2 linked regions of the Bombyx mori genome follow. The protein of the gene in region 2 binds, or shares a complex with, the protein of the main gene of each other region. Links are inferred from orthologs where the notes say so. Each region holds a gene or a part of one and is shown on either strand. Other genes may lie near its edges.

Region 1 (7,774 bases), on a different chromosome or scaffold from region 2:
CGAAAGCCTACAATCGCGTAAAGTGTATAATCTATGATCGCGGCAAAGTGCGTAGGTACATAGATGGGCCCAATCGGAATCGATCTTTTGGAAAATCGATCTTTAATTTTAATCGCCTTACATCCACATCGGCTCACATTTTTATTACCTAAATGGGATTTAAAAAATGAGTAGTTTTAGATCTAAATTGACAAAACCATTGTAATTCTTGGGTTTTCCAGAGTCATACATGGAATTTATTACTGGTGGTAGGACCTCTTGTGAGCCCGCGCGGGTAGGTACCACCGCCCTGCCTATTTCTGCCGTGATGCAGTGATGCGTTTCGGTTTGAAGGGTGGGGCAGCCGTTGTAACTATACTTGAGACCTTAGAGCTTATATCTCAAGGTGGGTGGCGCATTTACATTGTGGATGTCTATGGGCTCCAGTAACCACTTAACACCAGGTGGGCTGTGAGCTCAACCACCCATCGAAGAAATAAAAATAAAACTACATTTACGACTATATATATATATATATATATATATATATATATATATATATTTAGTTAAATATTATTTAATAGTACACTAGTACACACATCGAGTGACTCGGGGTACCGTAGTCAGCGCCCCAACTACTGGGCTGAGAATTGTGAGTTCGGAATTCCATTTTGGAGAATCGTACGTGTACCTAAAATATTTTTTGTCTTTATTGGAACGAAGTTCCTTACGGCAGGCTTGGAGGGGATAGGGATATTGCTGCGCGACCGAACTGAAAAAAATGTGATAGTAAAACCGTAAGGAAAAATCCGTGGAAAAAAGTGCGTGGAATAAAACCGTTAAATGAGACGTGCGCAGGCGCGACAGTCGTATACACAAGCGAGTAGTGTATAATACCTTTCTCTTTCTCCCTCTTTCTTTTCGTTCTCTCATCCTTTCTCTCTCTATTTTGTAATTATTTCTATTTCTATGTAATTTTATGTTGTCAAACAAAACTAAAGAGACATATTTTGTTATTTTAATTGATAATTTTGATAATTTGAATTACGATTTTATTTTTATTTTACGTAATTTATTATTTCCTAAAATACTGAATTTCCTAAATACTTTCCTGTACTTAAATAAAAACTAATCAGCAAAATTTAAGAGAAAAATCAAGAAAACCAACATAAAAATGAGCACGATTTTTTTTTGCAAATTGTGTCGATTCTACGTTAGCCGAAGGAACTTCGTTCCTACCTGGTGTCCCACGACACCACTTTTTTTTTTCTTATTTTATGTTAAATGTATATACATTTATTTATTTGGAAAAAAGGAACAGTACAAAACACCCATAAAATACATTCAAAATAGATATACAAAAAGTAAACAAGTTTGCACTATTAACATTACAGGTAAGTAGAAAGTAAACAGAAAAATAACTTTAGGAAGACCTTAATAAATAAAAGTTTACAACAAGGTAACAAAATACAACAATTACAAAACTTTATACTAATTATTGCTACACGTCGGACATTACTAACCTTTCAAAAAATATTCCCAAATAGCATTATAAATGCAAACGTGTATATATTTAAATTTACGTAACTAAATCTCTATTTCCGATAGTAGAAGGTATCCTAGCTTGAGGGCAAATGACGTTTGTGATTTGTGTATAATTTTGATGAAATTTCGCAGAAAGTTAATAATATTTGGTGAAGTGGCAGACCGCGGTAAAATGCACTCGCTGTGAAACGGCGCGTCGCGTCGGCGCGAACGGAACTGAAGTGTTGTTTGTTGCGTTCGCTTCACCAAACATATAAGCATGCTCATGGGGCTCAATCTGGGAGACTTTGTAAACATCCTCTCTAGAGCAATGCTTCGCTGAATCTACCACCGGATCAAAATCACAACCCTCTGAGAAAATCCGTTGAGTAACTCAGTGGGCTCAAACTCTTTTTGCGCTCGCTGCATGACATAATACATGTGATCAGGGACGTCTTAAATTAGGCTGGGGCCCTTGGACACACAAGAATTTGAGGTCCTTTTGGAAAGTAAAAAAAGCGAATTATAATAACATTTTTTACTCAGTATGACCATTTATTATAGGTAATCAAATACGGTATGATATAATATGTCATTAATGATATTAGAATACTGCTGGTTTTTTGGTTACGATCACGATAACGGAAACCGAATAAATGTGTGAGAGAAATTGTCGGTCCTTAGGGGGCCCCTGAGAATGGGGTCCCTGGGAACGGGTCCCGTGTGCCCTTATGGTAAAGACGGTATTGCATGTGATGGTAATCTTTGAACAATGTCCTCTCAAGAAATTCGCGGTCAGTGTATCGCCCTCAAGATGTGCCGACAAAGGAGAGTCGTTAGCGGTGTTTGTTCAAACGGCTATGTTTAGTTGGTTGATGTACTGATAGTTTATATTTCGTTTCGTTTGTATTTCGCCGCACGCCCCCAGTAGTGATAGGCAGCTCGTTATCTAGGGATTCGCTGCCCTAATCACATCGTAATAATACTCATAGTAAATGACATGATCGAACAACACCCGGTATTTTTGCTATTTTAAATGAGACAGTGTATTTGCTGATTCATGATTTCGGATTGGTGATCTACAAATAAACTTAAAAAAACAAAATAGTTAATGGAGCGGAGAGTGATACAACCATAGAGTTAGTATACTTATTAACTCCATGGATACAACTGACACAAGTAACTTTTTTTCGGATAAGCTATTAATCTAGTTTTTTCTATGCTATAAAATATACTAGTACCTACTATTTTTTTACTGATCTGTGGATGTTTGTGCGTTCGTCCACAGATTAATAATGTGTGGGTCCGCCAGAGAATTGAACTAAATTGAACTAAAAATTGAAATAATTGAACGGTAGAAATTGTCAAGAAGAATGTGTTTGTTGAAGCTTGACTTATACCTAATTGGCTAAAACAAAAAGTCAAAGAGAAAGTATATTATTTAGCCAATCATAAGTCTAGGTTTGGCTCTTCATTTAACAAAATTTCACCGAACACTGATCTGTGATACAAAAACTCAAAAAAGTCAAGCTGTCAAAATAGATCTTGGAATTTAATAAATTATTAATCTATTTAATTGATTAGTTAGGAAAATGATTAAACTTTTTTCATTAAAACAACAGAAAAAAGATGAAGAGGGTTCTACCAGAGGAGGAGGATCACAAAAAAAAGCATCAGCAGCCCAATTACGAATTACAAAAGGTTCTAGGCGATATTTTCAGTGTTTACTAGATTTTTCATGTTTAATTAAGCATTACCAATGAATTTCCTGTATTTTATGGCAGAAATATATTGGCAACAAATAAGATTTCATTAAAATTAACTTGTTATTTTATAAGATTTTATAAGCTTCATTTCATGACCAATATTAATGTATCCACAGATTTGAATGAATTGAATCTACCGAAAACATGCAACACAGAATTCCCTGATCCGGATGACCTATTGAATTTTAAATTGATTATATGCCCAGATGAAGGATTTTATAGAGGAGGAAAATTTGTATTTAGCTTTAAGGTGAGCTTTTGTTCATTATTCATTAACATCATAATTAACCTTAAGATAACTTTCGATGTGTTCACCAGTAGATCACATTCATTATCTCAGAGCTTAATCACTTCATATGGCAATATTGTTGGGTACAGGAAAAAAATTACGAATGGTCTTTGTATGCAAAACTTGGAACTATAAGAACTGATTCAAAATCTGTATTTTTTACAAACTAAAATCATATGGCTTGGAATAGTTGGCTAGTTTTTGTAAAAAAACATCATTACATGATTGTATTTTAAAAATTTACTGGTCTGAATAAAAATTTAATCTGTTGATTCTGACTTGGTATTAGGTGGTCAAAGTTAGTGTACAACTGGGTAAGCCCTGTGATCATGTCTATATCTCTTCTATAATACTTTTACTATATTCTGGTTTTAAGCATTGAACATCTGATGCCGAAGTCCTCGTCGACATGATGGGTCTGTGTTGGATGGCTGGATGGCCTCACCGCTGTTGACTGGTCAGTAGGGATGCTTATAGTGGAGATCCCATCGGAACCTGCCTGTGTCTGTGATTACCATCCACAAATTTAACATTAGAGTGAAGCCTGATGGTCATACATGGGGTAGACTGCGATAGACTATGATTTTTTTTGTGGTTATTGATCTCTCTCTCTTTCTCTCTCTCTCACACACTCATGCACTAATGTTGGTACACCACATTCTACCTTGTTCCTATTAATATAGGTAGATGAGGTGTGAATCTTTAAGAGCATCTAAAAAAACAGAAAATTTTGAAGTAATACTGATGATCATCGCTGATGATGATAACTGCCACAGCTGTTTTTATTTTTATTTCATAGGATCATATGATTAACCAGTTGCGCATATTAAGTATTTAACTGAGCCCCACACCCTACAATGTGAACGTCACAAGTCATCATAGAAGTGTGCAGACAAAAGAGGACAAAGTTTCATTAATTGATAAAGTGTAGTAATAAAACATAATAACAATACAACATAACAAAAAAAATTAAAAGGTTTCACATGTTTGTACAATTCTTTTATGACATTGATCAGTCTATAGCAAAAACTTTCTCCTGTGTTATTTCGCCTATAACATCTTGAAGACAATAACACCCAGATCCTGAAAACCAAATATATTTTATCGACTCTAGGGGATAGTAGTCGCTAGCAACCTGACCAATGAGGCAGAACTTAGGTAATGATTCTTCAGTCAATTCATTTTTACTCAGAACAATTTATCAAAGGATGTTTTCAAATAATACTAACCAGCTGGAGCTCAGTAGCTAATACTTCTTTTACTATTGGTTAAATTAACTGTCCCTCAATTGAATATGTACGTTTATAGTAATAAATATTTAATATTATACAAAGTCCACAGTCTTTTTGCTGAGAAGCTGCTGAAAAAAAGCTTTGACTTTGAAGTTGGCTGAACTTCTTTGTTGTGTCTTGAAAAAATTGCAGACAAAATAATAAAAACATTTCGATTATTGAGTTCAGAAGCGAGATAGTTGGGGTCTTGATTGTAACTTTGCAATAACTCCTAATTTTGGATTTTTTTAACATCTTGTACTTGATCAAACTCAGTGATCGGTCCGTGCGGTTCTAAATAGGAGACAGTTTGAGTATAGTTATTAATACAATCTCAGACCACAGGCTATGATATAATAAACTAAAAACGGACCCCAGGCGAACCTTGAGGTTTGTCGAGGACTTCAAGGTGATCCCTCCCTCTATATTCTCCTTCTTTAAGCCTAATCTTTATAGATTACAAACTTATGTTATGTTACACATGGGTAGGTACCACTATCCTGTCCATTTATGCCGTGAAGCTGTCATGCGTTTCGGTTCGAAGGGTTGGACGACCGTGAGAGGAGAGTTAAGTCAGCGGCTCGTCTCAAGTGACTAGCAGCATTTACGCTATGTTATCTCCGATAAATATTACGTAGATAATACCATATCGGCCGTAAGCTGAAGTATTCTAGAAATGCTAAAACACTTTAGTAGATAGTAAGTAACTTGTATCTTTCTAACAAATATTTTTAACCAATTTTCAGGTAGGACCAAATTATCCTCACGAGCCGCCCAAAGTCAAATGTGAAACAGCAGTTTATCATCCTAACATAGACCTCGAAGGCAACGTGTGCCTGAATATACTCAGGGAAGATTGGAAACCTGTTCTCACAGTTAACTCCATAGTGTACGGTCTCCAGTATTTATTCTTGGTAAGCCCACTAAATTGATATAAAGACATAGCAATTAAGAACTTCTCATCAAACAGTTTTCTTTTTTTGGTTTTTCTTTTCCAGAAATTGACAAGTTTTGGTGTAATTATGATTATTTTCGTTTTTTTTTTTATTTCAACCTTTCAAATACTTCAATTTTCGTATTCACCGACAACTGTGAGTCTTTAAAGTATTTTTAATTATGTGTAGGACTCACGAAAACCAACGAAATAACTGCTGGTTATGGTTTGATGAAAAAGTTTATGTTTGAAGTAATATTAAATTTAGAAAAATGTATTAATCTCAAGAATGTTTCGGAATCTGAAGAAATTTACTGTACAAAATGCTCTTTTATCAAACTTAGGGCTGCCGATAAAAATCATAACTATAAAAATATTCGTATATTAGCAGTACTCGTAAAGATAAATATAATGAGATTAGATGGGAAAGTCGCTATTCGTCCGTCATCACACGTATTGCATTTTTATCTATTTTGGTGTACAATAACGCATACTCTCTCTTTCATTCACGGTATTGTATTTTATTTTTATCCAGTTTACGTGTACTTGTATAGTCTTGTATAATTGTATCCTATAACTCTCTGTGGAGAGAGTTCTTTGACGAATTGAGAAAATTTCATCATTTTCATTTTATCTTCGCACGAACTGTCAGCAAAGCTTATCTATACTCGCGCCACCCACCTCGAGATATACGTTCTAAGGTCTCAAGTAATAGTTCAACGGCTGCCCCACCCTTCAAACCGAAACGCATTACTGCTTCACGGCCGAAATAGGCAGGGCGGTGGTACCCACCCCCGCGCAGACTCACAAGAGGTCCTACCACCAGTAAAAAACATGTATTGGAATTGTTTTTTTTTTTTTTTAGGAACCAAACCCTGAAGATCCCCTCAACAAGGAAGCAGCTGACGAGCTCCAAAGCAACAGGCGACTTTTCGAACAACACGTTCAGAGAGCTATGCGAGGCGGCTACGTCGGCACATCTTATTTCGAACGATGCCTCAAATGAAAACCTGCACACGTGTAAAAAATGCTAACAACCATATAAATAATAATAAAATCTCATTTTAATGTTTTTCTATTGTTTCGTTTTTATTTATTTAATATTGTTTTTAAAAAAAGCCATCTCTAATGCCATGCCCAACAAGATATCTAAAGTACAATTATTATATTGAGAAATCGTTTAATTCACTTGAATTTCTCTTATAATAATTTCATAACAAAATATACGAGTCGTATCGATCGATCCTATATTTTTCGAGTTGATATCAAATTCAAACACAGTTATGTCTTCATAGTTAAACTTAAAAAAATGTCGCTAGTGGCGCTTAGGTCATTGTAAATAAAGAACTGCATTCAACAATTCTTTCATTTGAATACCTAAGTATATTTGTGATGTTGACTAATCCTTATCGGATGGGTAACTAGTAACTATAAATGTACTTTTCTAGTTATATACCAAACTATTACTCTGCTAGTTGGTGGATGAGATAGCATACACAATACATGAGTAAATGCATGTAGTATGCTGTAAGTATCTAACAAACCACTAAATACTTACTAAATAGTGAAGAATTCGATAAAAAGAGAAGGAAGGATTTAATTGATATGATTGAATTGATTTAGTGACACAAACGAATGTTTTAAAACCAATCCTAGTAGGTGGCACCGATGACGTCTGATCTGGCATCTATGCTAGTAAAAATACATTTGAGAATGCGGCTACCTACCCGAATTTTTAAGTCTACAAATAGCGTTCGTAAAATCAAACAAAAGCTTAAAATTTTGCACTGAAATATTTATTCCTTTTTTTTTAAATGGAATTACCGTCTGATAGCAGCGGGTAGGAAAAAACTTTAAAACCATTTTTGAATATCCAATTCGTAATTTAAATTTTAATACGCTTATCTCCTATTGAATTATGACAAAGTAAAGAAGTGTGAAAAAATCCATGTAGTAAAAAATGTTAAAATATCATAATTAAACCAAGCAATAACAAATAAAAACTTTTTAT
Region 2 (7,826 bases):
CCCTGTAACAACCTAACCAGGTTATATTGAGTTTATTTACATAAATAAAGATCTAAAACAAACAATACTTTTTGGGCCAGTGAATATTGTCTGTTCTGGTATGTCCATTCAAATCTGTCCATGGTGATATTGTTTTAATGTTATATTCGTACTTAACTCCCTCAACATGTGCCTCTTTATTCTATCTTAGTTGCTGACGGAGTGAGACTGCACAAGCTACTACTAAAGCCAAAGCCCTATGGGTCTGCAGAGGGACTTCGGTTCCCTCTGTATTTTGTACCGCATGTTCCATGGGAAGTGCTCTGAGGAATTGTTTGAGATGATACCGGCATCTCGTTTTTACCATCGCACCGCCCGCCACCGGAGTAGAGTTCATCCATACTACCTGGAGCCACTGCGGTCATCCACAGTGCGTTTCCAGAGGCCTTTTTTGCCACGTACCATCCGGCTATGGAATGAGCTCCCCTCCACGGTGTTTCCCGAGCGCTATGACATGTCCTTCTTCAAACGAGGCTTGTGGAGAGTATTAAGCGGTAGGCAGTGACTTGGCTCTGCCCCTGGCATTGCTGAAGTCCATGGGCAACGGTAACCACTCACCATCAGGTGGGCCGTATGCTCGTCTGCCTACAAGGGCAATAAAAAAGTTATTTCTACTGTGAATCATTAGGTTCCTGTTTAATAGTACAATAGCAATAATTTTTTACAAAAGCAACTTTGAACTTTAGTCAAGATGAGCGGTGATGTCCATGTTGTGAATGAACTTCAGTATCTGCTCAATTTTCATTTTGAATAAATTCAATGATTCAGATTTCTTATAAAATGGCCTGGGCTGTAATGGAATAATTGTAAAATACATATTAAAGTAAAAAAGCATAATTACTCAATTATAACAATAAACTAAGAGAAGCAGGTCACAGAAATTAAATCTCTATCAACACACCTGCTTTTGAATATTATCATTTTGACTGCTCTCATCTTCTTCAACTGTTTGGAAAACAGCAACTGAGCTATTTGGTATTTTTTGTAAGACAACCTGAGTTTCTTCCGATTTATTTTTGCACTTGTTCTTGTGTGCAATTTTTTCAACAATTTCAGTTAAATCTTTTGAAAGTGGAATCCTTTCATCGCTATCACTTTGTTCAGCATCTTCTGTTACAGATTCTTTCAAGGACTCTTGATATTCTTCCTCTAAATGTTTTATTTTCATCAATTCTTTGAGCTAAAATAATAATACACATAATCTGAATGTATATGGATAGTGTGCAGCTGTTAACCTGTGTTCTTGACATTGTCAATGTGCTGAGCTACAATGACCACTTATGATCAGATAAACTTTAGGCCTCTGACTTAAAAGTATATATTAACAATTACTACTTCTGTTCAACCATATTTTTATAAATTTTTAACCACACAAACTTTATATTCAATATGAGATTAAAATACTATATTAAGTAATAAACATACTCACTGCTGAGGTAGCCTTAACAAAGTGTCCATGAATTGTGGTACTGAACTTTTCTTTACAGTAAACACGTTTGTGAGATACAAAGTTTGCTAGGCTTCTGAATATATTTCGGCAAACTTTGCATTCATACAAAATATCACACTCATTAGATAGTAAATTTTTAAGCTGAAAATTTTATAAGCCATTAAAGATTTATCTGTATAGTCTATAGAGTTCATAAAGTGAGAAACTTGAAATAATACAACTGACAAATTATTTTTTTATTTAAAGCATTGCATTACATAATACTTATTCAGATACAACTTAGTACATTTAATAGAATTGAACTCTAATCAACTTAACCATTGGGTAATTAGAACACCAAACTCTGTTTAAATAATAGAATATAGATATGTAATTTTGAGAATATATTTTTGAAAGAAAATGATCAATTTTACCTTTTTCAATGTTATCTTTCAGCATTTACTAAGCAATTGGGTTAATTAAGAGATGAGATGAATGAGAGAATGATGTTATTAATGTTTTTAACATTTGTTATACCTTTTTCATAAATAAGTCAGTAAGTGGTTTTCTTACCTCTTCAGTAGCTAAGTCAAATATTTTTCTTGCTTGACCAAAACTAGTGATACTGGTCAAGATAGGTTTTCTGAGTAAGGCATAGTCTGGGAGTTCATTTTCTTCATTGGTTTGTCCATTGCCTCTATTGTTTGATTTGCTTTTATCTTCTTTTCCCTTTGATTTTGTATTCACTTTGTTACCAGCCATGTTACACCTAACAATTACAATTTAATGACTTTATCACAAGACATTTACAAAGGTAAGTTTGATTTGATAGCAACATAAATATGAACTGTTATAAAATACTGTAGGTACCAACAGTATATTTCGTGTGATACTGATCAGTTTTACGGAAATCACCAATGTGATATTTATTTCAATTATGCACTGAACTCACTGAATTTAAAATGATATGTTTGACAACAGATATTTTTCCTTCATCTTTATATCCGCATGGTTATATTGCAAGCAACACTCGACTTCAAAATGTTCGCAGTCTCTCCCTCAATTTTAGAGGATATTTCGCGGTTTGTGGTCACAAATCTTATTCCAATAAATATTCTAAATACTGCAGATACCGAAACCAGTGCTGAAAGGTTTCAACTTACCCTAAAAACCTCACTACCGCTAACTTGAAAATTGAAGACCTGCGACAAATTCACATCCATCACGCCTCCATTTTCAACAAATGAATGGCACCAATAGAACGTAATCAGGTTTGAATGATTCGACTATAGAATGTAAATTTTTGAACGTAGATTTATTTTTACATAGGTAATTACCTAACTAGTTTGGAGTTTTCATGAGAGAATAAAATTGATCAACATGCTTTTTTTTTAAATATTTTTGTTGATTGGTTTTGTGTCTATTTTCTTTGATTAGCTGATATTAATGTCTCTAGTTGCTCTTTGCAGACAGAGTATGCAATTTATTGGTATTCAGAATTGAGCGTATACCGCTTGAAATAACTAATTTATGGCTTTCGAAGATTGGTAATAGTTTATTTGGATGTGTATAGGTATATCCGATATAACAAGGAAGTTAACTACATACTAATTAAAACCCATTATTTTAAATGCATAAAATCGTGAATCCCGTGTGTATGTGTATTAAATTATGTTTAAAAGTATTTTAAGCCCTAATTCTGGAATCTAGTATATTTGCATTTTCTTTTACTTTATTAATAAAAGTAAAGTTTAATACCTCTATTGAATACCAACATATTACCTAACCATTTGAATTTGTTGGAGTGGACTGATCTTTTACCACAAAAACAGTGCTACCATAAGTAGACAGTACGCGTGAGCTTCGAGGTCCCTATACCCTTCTCTATTTAGTATGAGAAAAAAAGCGCTTGTCACCGGCCATCTAAATATTATATCTGCATAAATCCAAATTTGATCACGTTATTATAGTTCAGTGATTTATCTTGGAGGTAAAGAATATTAATCTATTTAAAAACTCCTTTGAGTTTGGATGTCAACATTTGGGTATTTAAAAAGTCAGTAGTAATACTTAATTCTGATTCATGATTCATTCATTACACTGTGATTTACTCGCGATAGTTATTTTCAGTGACTCGCAATAGTCGATGTGACATATGTTCATCGACTAAATTATAGGCACGATGCCTTTCGCCTTAAGTTGCGATTTATAAATGAAGGAATACTTCCGCAGTAACTTTTTCTTTATTACGTTTTAAAATTTTAATCGTTTTTTTTTATGTTTCGATATTTGACGAGAAGCTTCATGGATTAAAATCTATTTACCGGCCCAATTGGCCAAATCAATTAAATTATTAGTGTTTTCAATGAACTTTAAACCTTCAACACATGTAGCACAGATATGTATTAACTGGCGAAATACTATTACTACTATTACTTATTGTACTACATGGTATACTCTTTGGTCTATGAAAATAAGGCGATTAGGATTTATAAATATTTAACCGCAAAGTTAAAAAAATTAACAGAAAAAGTACACCTACCTACCTACTACATACATACCTCTTCTAGGTAGGTATCATACTTATTGCCATAATTATATTTATTTATTGCACTAAAACTTATTGGAAATAGAAATAGGTACGTACATAATTATAGTATTTTGAAAGAATACTAAATCATTAATTACAAATCTATATAAAAATAATAAAATGAAAGTAATAAATACATCTCTTATTGCTAATTATTGAATATTCGTTTTGATTAGCTGCATATTACTGAAGTACACACAAGTGTGGTTTAAAAGAATAATATCTCAGTTCTTTCAATGTGTATGTATTTAAATAGTGTAATGTATTTATTTTTCAGTCATAATGACTTCAGAATCTCAAACGGCTGATTATCAAAATAGGAGATGGCAACATATAAGGAAGCTGCTGGAAAGATCTGGTCCTTTCTGCCATCCAGATTTTGAAGCTTCAGCAGAAATTCTAAATTTCATCATGAACTGTTGTAAAGTTCTCATTGTTGGGGCAGGTGGTCTTGGTTGTGAATTATTGAAAGATTTAGCCTTAATGGGCTTCAAAAAGTTACATATTGTAGATATGGATACAATAGAACTATCAAATTTAAACCGGCAATTTTTGTTCAGAAGAAATGATATTGGCCTACCTAAAGCTAAATGTGCTGTGGAATTTGTCAATAAAAGGTAAAAATGTAATTGTGATGAGTAGAGTTAGTGTTTAATTGAATGTTATCAATGTACAGTAATTATTATTTACATTATTAAATAAATACATAAAGTTACACACTTGCAAATAGTAGGGGTCCCTGAAGTAATTATCTATTATCCCATTATGATAATTGTTACGTTTTCTATATGAACGTTCATCATTTTGTGAAATCTTGATAAAAAGGATGAATAATGGGGGAAGTCTATACACGATGTAGGAGGCGATGGATGTATGAATTCAAAAGTAAGGATTCCCTGACAGGAAGTAGATTTTCAACATTTTCCGAAATAAGTGGTTACATAAACTAGACTGAAGTGCATCCAAAGTAGTGAAAACAGTGTTAGTACTTTTATTCCCATGTCATAAATCTTACCTTTGATTTTAATATTCTGAAACACGTAAATTTTATTATATTGCTCTTGATAGTGTTACATTTAAATTGTTGATTGATTGATGTTGATTGTTGTTGCTTCCCGAAGCAAGGCCAGGGCGGGTCGCTAGTCTATACTAGAACTGTAATTTATTATTGATTATCAAAATAAGTTGGCAGATTTCTTTCCTACTTACTTGACACTTATCATTATATTTTTGTAATTCACACTATATCTTTATAAATTATTATAGTCAATGTCAACTATATTATTGTAAAGTTTCATCAAAATCCATCAAGTAGTTTTTCGGTGGAAGAGTAACAAACATACATTCTTACAAACTTTCCGTTTGTAATATTAGTAGGATCTGTGTTATATATTTTTATTAACATCTCCAGTAAAGCATTGATGATGGCACAAACATTATACAATATTTATCTCCTAAGCAAACCAAGTTTGTGGTTTCAATTCCTATTTGGCATTTTTGAACATGCATTTTTAAGCTAAGACAGACACCCCCAGCCACACCACACTGTGGGCACTGTGCTTCAGCTGGTTTTTTTTCCATTATTGAGACAATTTATCTGGTATTTGATATCATTTAAAATGAAATTAAATATATTTGCCAATATATTTTTTTCTTAAATTGTAATCATCATACACTTCTTCTTCTTCTTCTTCTCAGTCATGTCACTCTTGACAGAGTGGTCGTGATCGTCATGTAGTGTTACTCTTATTTTACTTAAAATGACAGTTGTTGTAATTTTTGTTGAATAAATTTTGTTGTTTTGAACTTTGGTATTTCTTTTCATTACAGAGTTCCTGGGTGTGAAGCTGTAGCTCACCACTGTGCCATTCAGGACCTTGATGAAGATTTTTATAGACAATTTCACATTGTTGTTTGTGGGCTTGACTCAATTATTGCTCGGAGATGGCTTAATGGAATGCTGGTATCCTTGTTGCAGTACAATGATGACAGTAATAGTTTATTTTCTTAAAGTTCTTGGTAGTAGCTAGTGTTTTATTTACTGGCAGAGTGTGTATCTTGAGCCTAGGAAAAGGTATTTACCTATTCCTGCCACAAGGCATTAACATGTTCTAGTTTTCTACACTTTTATTATAAAAATATAATTTGTTAAAATATTTTGTAAGAAACTAATATAAATACTTTGTGCCTAAAGAGATAATTTCAGACAGAATAAATAAAATTAAACTTGAATCAAAAATTGTTAAATATTTATATAAATAATTTATTATGATTACGAATTTTTCATTGCTCATATTTTGAAAATATTCTAAAAAAAAACAATGTTAACAACATATCCATCTTTATTGTTTTAACTTTCAATAGTATCTACCTATTGCATTTTAAATTTTGTTAATTTGTAATTTGACAGGAAGTTTGGACCAGAGTAGTGTAATTCCAATGGTGGATGGAGGTACTGAGGGATTTAAAGGCAATGCTAGAGTTATATTACCTGGCATGAGTGCATGTATTGAGTGTACTTTAGATCTATATCCCCCACAAAAAACTTTCCCTTTGTGCACCATTGCTAACACTCCAAGGTAATTAGTATAACTATATATCTATTCAATTGTTAATTTACAAATGACAAAGTGTTCAATATTCTCATGACTCATATATTATTTCCAGATTACCAGAACATTGTATCGAATATGTTAAAGTAATTCAATGGGCAAAGGAGAATCCATGGGGTAGTTCAACAACTTTAGATGGTGATGATCCACAGCATGTCGTGTGGGTGTATGAAAAGGCCCAAGAAAGGGCAATGAAGCATGGGATTGCTAATGTTACATACAGGTTGACCCAAGGAGTTTTAAAGAACATTATACCTGCTGTTGCCAGTACTAATGCTGCTATAGCTGCTGCTTGTGCTACAGAGGTGAAAGCCCAATTTATTTAAAATCTCGATAGACTTAATAGTCTGTATTAGTTTATTATCTATTCCTTAAAATGTTGATTCATCTGTTATATACTGTGAATAATATTGGCACAGGTATTTAAACTAGCTTCATCTTGTTGTGTGAATATGAACAACTACATGGTACTGAATATGGCTGATGGTGTGTATACATATACATTTAGTGCAGAGAAAAGGCCTGATTGCGTTGCTTGTTGCAATTCTACTAGGGTTATGAAAATCGATCCTGATGCTACATTACAATATATTTATACAAAACTTTGCGAAGATCAAGCTTATTTGATGAAGAGTCCAGGTAAACACTAATTTTTGATGCTCACATTTCATTCAATTTTATGAATAAAATAAAATTTATTTTTCAGGCATAACCACTGTAATTAATGGATGCAATAAAACATTATACATGTCATCTATTAAGAGCATTGAAGAAAGGACAAAAGATAATTTAAAGAAGAAATTAACAGATTTGGGTTTGTTTAATGGTGCTGATATATTAGTAGCAGATGTGACTACTCCTAACACCATAACCATAAAATTAAAATTCGAAACTCTTGATGTTGATATGACTAAATAAAAATTAAATTAAACTAATAAACAAATATCCATCAAATTTAATGCGTAAAAATTTAATACTCACTACTCCGCCAATGCCTACCTACCTATTTTGTTTTATTTGTTTCGGACATTGGATACATAAAGGGAACGTAGCTCTTCAGTGACTTATTTGTAGTCAGGGCGTAGCCGAAACAAAAATATGGAAATTAATTTAAATGAAATTAAATGTAAGATAAGAATACAGCAAGTGTAGGATC

The links. The genes of interacting proteins can lie anywhere in the genome.
Region 1: the proteins of NEDD8-activating enzyme E1 catalytic subunit (region 2) and ubiquitin-conjugating enzyme E2M are in contact, whole or in part, in a crystal structure (PDB 2NVU), measured with the Homo sapiens proteins. The link is inferred for Bombyx mori from reciprocal best matches to the Homo sapiens genes UBA3 and UBE2M. Residues at the interface, in NP_003959.3 of Homo sapiens: His53, Pro54, Asp55, Glu61, Ser62, Phe65, Cys70, Gln149, Asn152, Asp153, Thr154, Arg157, Gln158, Phe159, His160, Ile170, Arg173, Trp174, Ser181, Leu182, Leu183, Asn184, Pro192, Ile195, Val196, Pro197, Leu214, Met217, Arg254, Met255; in NP_003960.1 of Homo sapiens: Lys3, Leu4, Phe5, Ser6, Leu7, Lys8, Gln9, Gln10, Lys11, Lys12, Glu15, Lys21, Gly22, Ser23, Ser24, Lys25, Lys26, Ala27, Gln31, Leu32, Gln35, Lys36, Ile38, Asn39, Glu40, Phe51, Ser52, Asp53, Pro54, Asp55.

What each region holds. Positions count from the first base shown.
Region 1 is NC_085121.1:6,067,162-6,074,935, reverse strand, and holds ubiquitin-conjugating enzyme E2M, read left to right. Parts: upstream 1-2,804; 5' UTR 2,805-3,095; coding exon 3,096-3,204; intron 3,205-3,385; coding exon 3,386-3,519; intron 3,520-5,575; coding exon 5,576-5,743; intron 5,744-6,628; coding exon 6,629-6,769; 3' UTR 6,770-7,118; downstream 7,119-7,774.
Region 2 is NC_085115.1:7,046,140-7,053,965, forward strand, and holds NEDD8-activating enzyme E1 catalytic subunit, read left to right. Parts: upstream 1-3,314; 5' UTR 3,315-3,458; intron 3,459-3,545; exon of another isoform or gene 3,546-4,107; intron 4,108-4,335; 5' UTR 4,336-4,340; coding exon 4,341-4,675; intron 4,676-5,888; coding exon 5,889-6,049; intron 6,050-6,468; coding exon 6,469-6,637; intron 6,638-6,725; coding exon 6,726-6,975; intron 6,976-7,089; coding exon 7,090-7,309; intron 7,310-7,376; coding exon 7,377-7,588; 3' UTR 7,589-7,624; downstream 7,625-7,826. Other genes in the region: uncharacterized protein LOC101738796, read right to left, coding at 941-1,219, 1,469-1,630, 2,042-2,230. UniProt on the Homo sapiens protein: Catalytic subunit of the dimeric UBA3-NAE1 E1 enzyme. E1 activates NEDD8 by first adenylating its C-terminal glycine residue with ATP, thereafter linking this residue to the side chain of the catalytic cysteine, yielding a NEDD8-UBA3 thioester and free AMP.